2 linked regions of the Mus musculus genome follow. The protein of the gene in region 1 purifies or fractionates together with the protein of each later gene. This does not show direct contact. Links are inferred from orthologs where the notes say so. Each region holds a gene or a part of one and is shown on either strand. Other genes may lie near its edges.

Region 1 (3,740 bases):
GTCTTCACACTGACTGACCACACGATGAAGTGTGAACAGGAATAGTGCAGAAAACAGCAGTTTACAAATACTTCACTCAAATCACAAACTGTTGACATCAAAAAAACATAAATCACATAATGTACAAATATTGCTTTTTATCTTTTTATATATACTTGGTTCAATGCATTACCTATCAATTCTTACTTGGGAGAAGAACAGTCATGAGATTGACATTGCTGGGGAAATGTCAACAATCCCTTTGGTCCCAAAGCTGAAAACAGCCGAGAAAAGCAATATCTAGAAAAAGGAAACAAGAAACAGAGGCCACCAAAGGATCATTGGAACATCTTGTTTGTTACTTTCAGAAAATGTGACATTGGTATTATAAAATAGTCGTTTTCATATAAAAGATGATTTTCTTGCAGCATCGATCACATCTCCCTTCAGAAATCATGTTTGCAGGGATCCGGTTTTGTATTTTGTTTTTAAACAAGTCTAATTTGAAACAAATGAAAATGTGATTTTTGTTCCTCCAAAAGTAAAGAAGAGACCTTTCAGGTTTCAGCTAGTGCTTCAAGGCCAAGCAGGTGAAGCACGTCTGTGGCCTTCATGCGCAGGGCAGAACACTCAGAGGACCACTAGTTCTTCCAGGAGCCTTGCTGTCACACCTCACTGGAAAGCCAAAGCACTTCACAGCCAACCGGGAGGACAGGATACCACATGATACCACAGTCACGTGATCTGCAGGGTTCTTAGCTCCCAGCACCCATTGCTTGAGCTGAGCCCTATCCTTCAGCTTCCTCAATGGGTTCTGGTGGTGCATGGAGGGAGGCGGATGGCAGGACTGTACTGGTTCCTCGAGATACCCGCTCTTGCTCTGTGTTTGTAGACAGGGAGGCCATAGAGATGGGCTGGAGCAAAGTGGTGGTCATGCCAGTGGTGACGGTCAGGCTGTGACCAGAGCCCTTGAGAGTAAGATCTGGTGTAGGGAGAAGTGGTTTGAGGATACTCACGAGGCAGAAAGCAGAGCCACTTTTAGGAATGAAATTCACCTTGTTTTTGTCAGGACAGTAAAAGGCTGGAATCTCATGAAGTTGTTTTGGCCTGCATACAAAACAGACAACCCACTCTTGTTAAGTCACTCAATACTGGAAATAAACTTATCATTAGAGAAAATAAGTCAATAAAAGATATATAAGGACAACTGAATCTGTCAGAAATGCCAACCTCAAAGGACCTAAATATTACCAGATATCTGACTCAGTGTTGTCAGGCACTCCCTTCGAGGGCCCTGTCACTAAGCAGAGGTCAGGCTGACACCACTTCATTTAATAGGATCTAAGATAGCCAATAGGAATATGGATATCCTAAAGCAAAAGAAAATCCACATGCATAGAGACAAATATGTTTCCAACATGATTTTTTATGAAGGGAGAAGACAAAACAATGGACTATATAAATCGTCTGGTTCTGTTTTTGCTAAATTCCACCCTACAGGACTATGCCCTGATAAGCAAAGGCTTTCTTTTCATGTATTCTTTACTTGTTTGTTTTGGGTTTTGTTTTCTTTTTTTGCTATGTTTTGTTTTGTTCAAGAAAGGTTCTTACTATTCAGCCGTGGCTGTCCTGAGCTTGCTATGTACACCAGGCTGACTTTGAACTCACGGAGATCCACTGCCTCTGCCTCTACAGCACCCAGCTTAAACTAAAACATGCACTTCCACATCCAGTTTTATCTAGTATAAGTAAAAATTTCTACATCAATTATAGAGATTTTCAGAGAAATGAAAGGTAAATGTGAAAGCAAAATAATGGAAAGCTTGTTGGGTTGCTTTAGTTTTTCTGTGATGGAGGGAATGGAACCTGAGCAGACTTTGGCCAGCTCCAGTGTATTGAGCATGGTTTGGCAGGCCTTGCCTTTCTAGCCCATTTTCCACCGTTGAGAGTATATTCCTAAAGCTAGCCACCCAGGTCTTTCCCTTATTTGGCCACTTCCTCCTCCTGAAGCTGACTATCAAGGTGCAGCAAGCAAAAGCCTCCTTTGGCTCACTTAATTAATATGCTCAATTAAAAAGAAATTTCTCATCCTACTTTGGGGTTTCCCTTGAACTTGTGTAAACTGCTGTCCCCTCTCTCTCCAGAGACAGTCCTTTTCCTCTAGGACAACCACCCCTTCTCCCTCTTGTTCCCTTCCTCTCTCCCTCGTCCTCTATCTTCTGTCTCTTATTCTCTACTCTCTGTCTTCTCTGGGGCAAACTAAAATTGCTGAGAACTTGGTCTTGGGGTCCTGAGCTGATTCTGTTCCTTATAGAACCCACCCAGGAATTTTAACCACCAAGTTGTAATTTAGTCTTCAAAGTTTTTTCCAAAGCAAACTTCTTCCCTGTTGCCAAAACCTTCCAAAACTATCCCAAAACATTTTTGTTCTTAGTGGTATTCCATGAAAATTTAAAAATTACAAATAACATAGTAATGTCACAAAATTAAAATAAAATCAAGGTGAGAAGACAACTTCGATGAAAAAAAAAAAAAACCCTGTTATCAGATGATAAAAATATTGTTTTCCTCTGCAAGATGGATATAGGTGATTGTTGCCAAGCTTGGAAGTTGAGTTCAACTCCTAGAATCCAAATGACAGAGGAGAGCCAACTTCCCTAGCTGTCCTCTGGTCTCCACACACACTGTGGCACACTCACCCATGCACCTGCATGTTTGCACACTGTGTATATAGAATCAATCATTGGTCATTCACATCTCTCCCAAAGACAACTGAGTTCAGTAAAGATGTCAGTGTGCCAAGCTGCAGGAGATTCTAAGAACAAAGTTCAATCTCTCTACGAGCAGACACGACACTAAAGAGTTCTTGGGAGGGGAGGCTCTACAGACAAACCCATTTCAATATAATCAGTTTCCTTTATAATCTGATATGATTTATGGGTTTAAAATGTTACTTAGACAAGGGAACCCATATCTTGACTGAAAGACTGTACCTAGCACAGGTGACCTGCAGGAGAGTCTGACAAACATGGTAAATTAAGGTTTGTAAAGGTTTAGATGCAACATGGGGGAGAGCTAACCTGTGATAGAGCCAAGAATCTGAAAAAAGGAAGGTCTCCTCAAACCTGTGAGCCAGCTTTAAAGAAGTAAATAACAGACTTGGTGACGGGGCTCCAACAATGTGTGTGTTCCTAACGATGCTGGGTTCAGACTCCACTGGCACTGAACACCCCAAAGACTGCAGTACAGGCAAAGAACAGAGGAAAACAGCGTTTATTTAAATCAATGGGAAGAACAGGTCAAGTACTGGCAGTATCTCTCACAAATGTTTCTGGGTGTTTTATGAAAAGAATCATACTCAATTTTTTCTAGACTCTCACTTATAAGAAAGTCAATGTTAACCTCTCTATAATAAAATAATGTTTAAATCTGAAGACAGGTTTATTAGAGATGTTAAGTTTTTATACCTCCATCTAAATAAAGACTTTTTTTTAACCTTGAACTTCTGATCTTTCTGCTCCCACTGAGTACTGGGATTACAGACGTGGCTTACCATGCCTGTCTTGCGGGGTACTGAGACTTACACCCAGGGCTTCCTTCACACTTGGCAAGCATCCTACTAAGCTATATCCCTATCACAAAGGACTAGGTTTGTCATTAATTTATTTGCCTGATGTCACCTTATTTAAAATTATTTGACAAGGCTAGGGATATTTGTGCTGTGTCTGGTTTAAAAGAAATAAATGGCTTAAGATATATGG
Region 2 (3,819 bases), on another chromosome or scaffold:
CAGGAACCCGTAAACTTCATAATATTCTTGGAGTAGAAACAGGAGGACCTGGCGGGCGGCGTGCTGGGGAATCGGGTCATACTGTAGCTGACTACTTGAAGTTCAAAGACCTCATTTTAAGGATGCTTGATTATGACCCCAAAACTCGGATTCAACCTTATTATGCCCTGCAGCACAGTTTTTTCAAGAAAACAGCTGATGAAGGTACCAACACAAGTAACAGTGTGTCTACCAGCCCTGCGATGGAGCAGTCTCAGTCTTCAGGCACCACCTCCAGCACCTCCTCCAGCTCAGGTCCGCCACGGCGCAGCGCGGCCCGCTCGCTTGTGCATGCTTTCTCTCTGCTTACTCGGGTGGGAGGCTTTTTCCCCCTCCTTTTTGGTTTTTTGAGGCAGGTTTTCTCTGTGTAGCCCTGGCTATCCTGGACGCCCCCTTGGTATGCTAGTCTGGCCTCAAACTCAGAGATCGCCTCCTGCCTCTGCCTTCAGAGTGCTGGGATTTAAGACACATGTTCCCACTGCCCAACTCCAATGTGGAATTCTTTCAGAGTATTTATATATATATATATATATATTTTTTTTTTAATTAGGTATTTTCCTCATTTACATTTCCAATGCTATCCCAAAAGTCCCCCATACCCTCCCCCCCCACCCCACTGCCCACCCCAGAGTGTTTATTATAAACTAATTTTTTGAATTTTGTAAATGGGTAGCAAGGGATTATTTTACTTCAATATGTTCTTAGTGTGTGTGGCTCTGAATTCAGTACCCTCAAACACACCTCCCCACCTGTATGGTTAGTAGCAAATTTAATTGTCAGATGTGTTCGTTATAATTGTCTGCCTGACAGTTAGAAACAAAGCTACTTATAGCCAAAAATTTAAATGGTTTTAAATGGAGTTATTTTTCCACGTCCTTAAGTTTTTACTTGACTGAGGAGAACCTGGCTGTATTAGCAGTTGATGTGGGAAGACATCTAAGACTCCAATTACTTTGTGGTATATTTCAAGTTAATACCATAGCTTGAAAGTTTTATGTGTCTGTATATGTGTTAAGTAGTGCATATACCTAACCGTGCATATGTGTGCACCTAAGGTCACATGTGGGTCTTGACACTGTGTCTTCCCTCACTGTCTTCCTTATTACTTGGAAATAAGAGTCCCAGTGCCCCAGAGGCCTGCTGTTGTATCCAGGCTGCCTGCCTGGCTAGTGAGGTCTTGGGATTGGCACTCCCTCACCCAAGTCCCGGGGTTCAGTCAGCCCAGGATTTTATACAGAGGCTGGAGATGCACACACAGTCCTAGCTCTGCTCCTGCTCTTACTGCGTACTCTCTCTACCCCATGCTTGAGTGGGTACAATGCAGTCTTAGAGTTCTAACTCGAGCAAAATTAGCTTTAAACTCACAAGTTTTTCCATGTCCTGATATTAAAGGTGGATCCTCGGGAACGAGTAACAGTGGGAGAGCCAGGTCGGATCCGACGCACCAGCATCGACACAGCGGTGGACACTTCGCTGCTGCTGTCCAGGCCATGGACTGTGAGACACACAGTCCCCAGGTGAGTGTTCCTAGTGCTCCTGCCATGGCCTTGCTAGCTTTAGCTTTGTTGGATGCCAGTCAGGACGACCATGTCTGTGTCCTCTTTTCTAAAGGTGTGTGGTATCCTCACTGCTTAGGAAATAAAAACTCCACTCCTTGTTAGAAATGAGAGCATGTGTTGGGTACACACACCACCGTCTTTCTAGCCATCTACTCCAGGTTTATTTTTCATTTGCCACAGCAGTTTCCTCCCTGCCTCTCAGTGGGTGCCGAGACCTCTAGATGCACTAATTCTCTGTGAGCTGTGCAGTCTGGGCCCTACGTTACTTCTTGTGGCCTCCAGCATTCCCACCCTGATTCTGAATCAGTTTGTGTTGGATTTTTAAACTTGTAATATTAAAGTAATTTTTAAAGTTAGTGTAGAACATGTGGTAGGATAGAAATGTGGAGATGCCATCCTAGCTATATTTCATTGCTGTGGTAATACCCAGACAGAAGCAGTGTAAGGATGACAGGGTATACTCTGGCTCACAGTTCAAAAGGAAATGATACCTTGTGTCAGGGAAGATGGGATGGCAGGCAGGGAAAAGCAGAGTGGTAGGGTCAGGAGGCCTCTGCATTTAAGAAACAGGAAATGGGTGGGGCTGTGCTGAGCTATAGAGCCTCAAGGCCTACTCTATAAGCCAGCCTCCTGCAGTAGGGCCTTCACCCCTGCCCCTGGCTGCCAGCTGGGGACCAAGTATTCAAGCACAGGAGGAAGGTGTTTACTGTTTAGACAAAACCATAAGACCTCAGTGAGACATTTCCTCTGCGTTGTGGGCTACATTTTGGCTCTGAGCGTGCCAATCGGTTATTTGATAGAGTAAGGAAAACCTGAGCTAGATTGGTGCTCATTCCTTAATTGTGACTGGGCCACTTGGTTTTGCTGGAGAAATTGTCACATTGTTCTGTCCTCACTGTTAGTATTCACCAGTCTCAGGCGGCCATCCTCAGAGGACCCCTTCTCCTTCCTATTGTCTGTGAATTACTTCCAACTTGTCCACTCGTAGGCAGAGGCCTGTGACTCTCTCTTCTGTGTGCAATCTTCAGACTGCACTGCTGTAGACGGGCTTTCTCACAGCTCGCCTCTCTCTGCTTTCACTGGGCTTCTTGTTGAAGGCCAGGCCCATGTCTCCTGTCTTCATGGGCTCTGGCTCCTTCTGTTGAACAGCACTGAGTCTTTGATCGTTCTAGCCTGTGGTAACTCTCCCTCACCACACTGTCATTCCTAGAGTTTCACACTTGTCTTCAGCAGCCCAGCAGCTCAGTGCACCTAACTCCTGGTCCCAGTTGCAGGCCCTGTGTCAGCCACAGTCCTCACTGATAGTCCAGAGGACTCCCCTGTTTTCCTTTGTCGTTGCCTGGTAGTATTTGGCAGGGTTGACTTAATCCACATACACTGAATTACCTCTGGTTTCTTTGGCAGCATGTGTCTGGTTCTCCATTTCTTTGTTCCCCCTCCCTTAACTGTCTTTTGGGGGGCAGTGTTCCTGTCCACCATGCCTTGAGATGACCTCACATGCTTTCTGCTTGGTCTCACCCCTTACTGCCAGTCATTACAGTCACCATTTTTAAAGCATTCCTTCCTACTTACCTCTGACTACACTGACCTCTGGGTTGTGTTGGGCTTACTGTAAATGCCATTCTGCAAGTTTGAGCAGTAAGAAGACTCTTAACTGTACCTGTTGCTTTGTAACAATGGTCCTATTTTCACTTACTTACTGTCATAGATTCAGGTCCAGGATGTTAGTCTCCAGGTTAGTGAGGTGTGAATTCTGATTTTATGTATATATAATTAGCCCTTCCACTGCAGGAACCATGTGTGTCCTGTCTTCCACTAAAGCACACTCTTTCCTGTGCCCTGACTAAGTGCTTATCAGCCTGAGGAAACTCTGCAGATGCTTGAACCTCGCTACTCCAGGCTAGTTTATTTCCCCTGCTTTTCATAGCCCTTGTTTCCCTTGTACCTGGACCTAACTAACGTGTAGAACCTCTTGTCTTTGTGCTCTGCCCCTACCCAGGCCTTTCTTTATTCTCTGCACTCAGAATGCACACACTGAGATCTTTCACTCTGAGGGTTGTGCCATGCTGGGCCTCCCACGCTTTCCTCATTCCTCCTGCGTTGGCTTAGTGGCACACTTCACACTTAGTAAATTTTTTTGGACCATCCTCTGTTCCTCTCTTTCATGTATGTATATGGTCTATGTACTACAAACATACATAGAAATTCCCAGAAAAACACA

The links.
Region 2: the proteins of Fam117b (region 1) and Dyrk1a purify together in Homo sapiens (affinity purification with mass spectrometry; 8 studies listed by BioGRID and IntAct, counting the BioPlex papers as one, with this or other methods). This does not show direct contact. The link is inferred for Mus musculus from reciprocal best matches to the Homo sapiens genes FAM117B and DYRK1A.

The regions. Positions count from the first base shown.
Region 1 is NC_000067.6:59,978,755-59,982,494, reverse strand, and holds part of Fam117b (protein FAM117B), read right to left. Parts: intron 1,087-3,740; coding exon 768-1,086; 3' UTR 1-767.
Region 2 is NC_000082.6:94,685,048-94,688,866, forward strand, and holds part of Dyrk1a (dual specificity tyrosine-phosphorylation-regulated kinase 1A), read left to right. Parts: coding exon 1-294; intron 295-1,431; coding exon 1,432-1,556; intron 1,557-3,819. UniProt on the Homo sapiens protein: Dual-specificity kinase which possesses both serine/threonine and tyrosine kinase activities. Exhibits a substrate preference for proline at position P+1 and arginine at position P-3.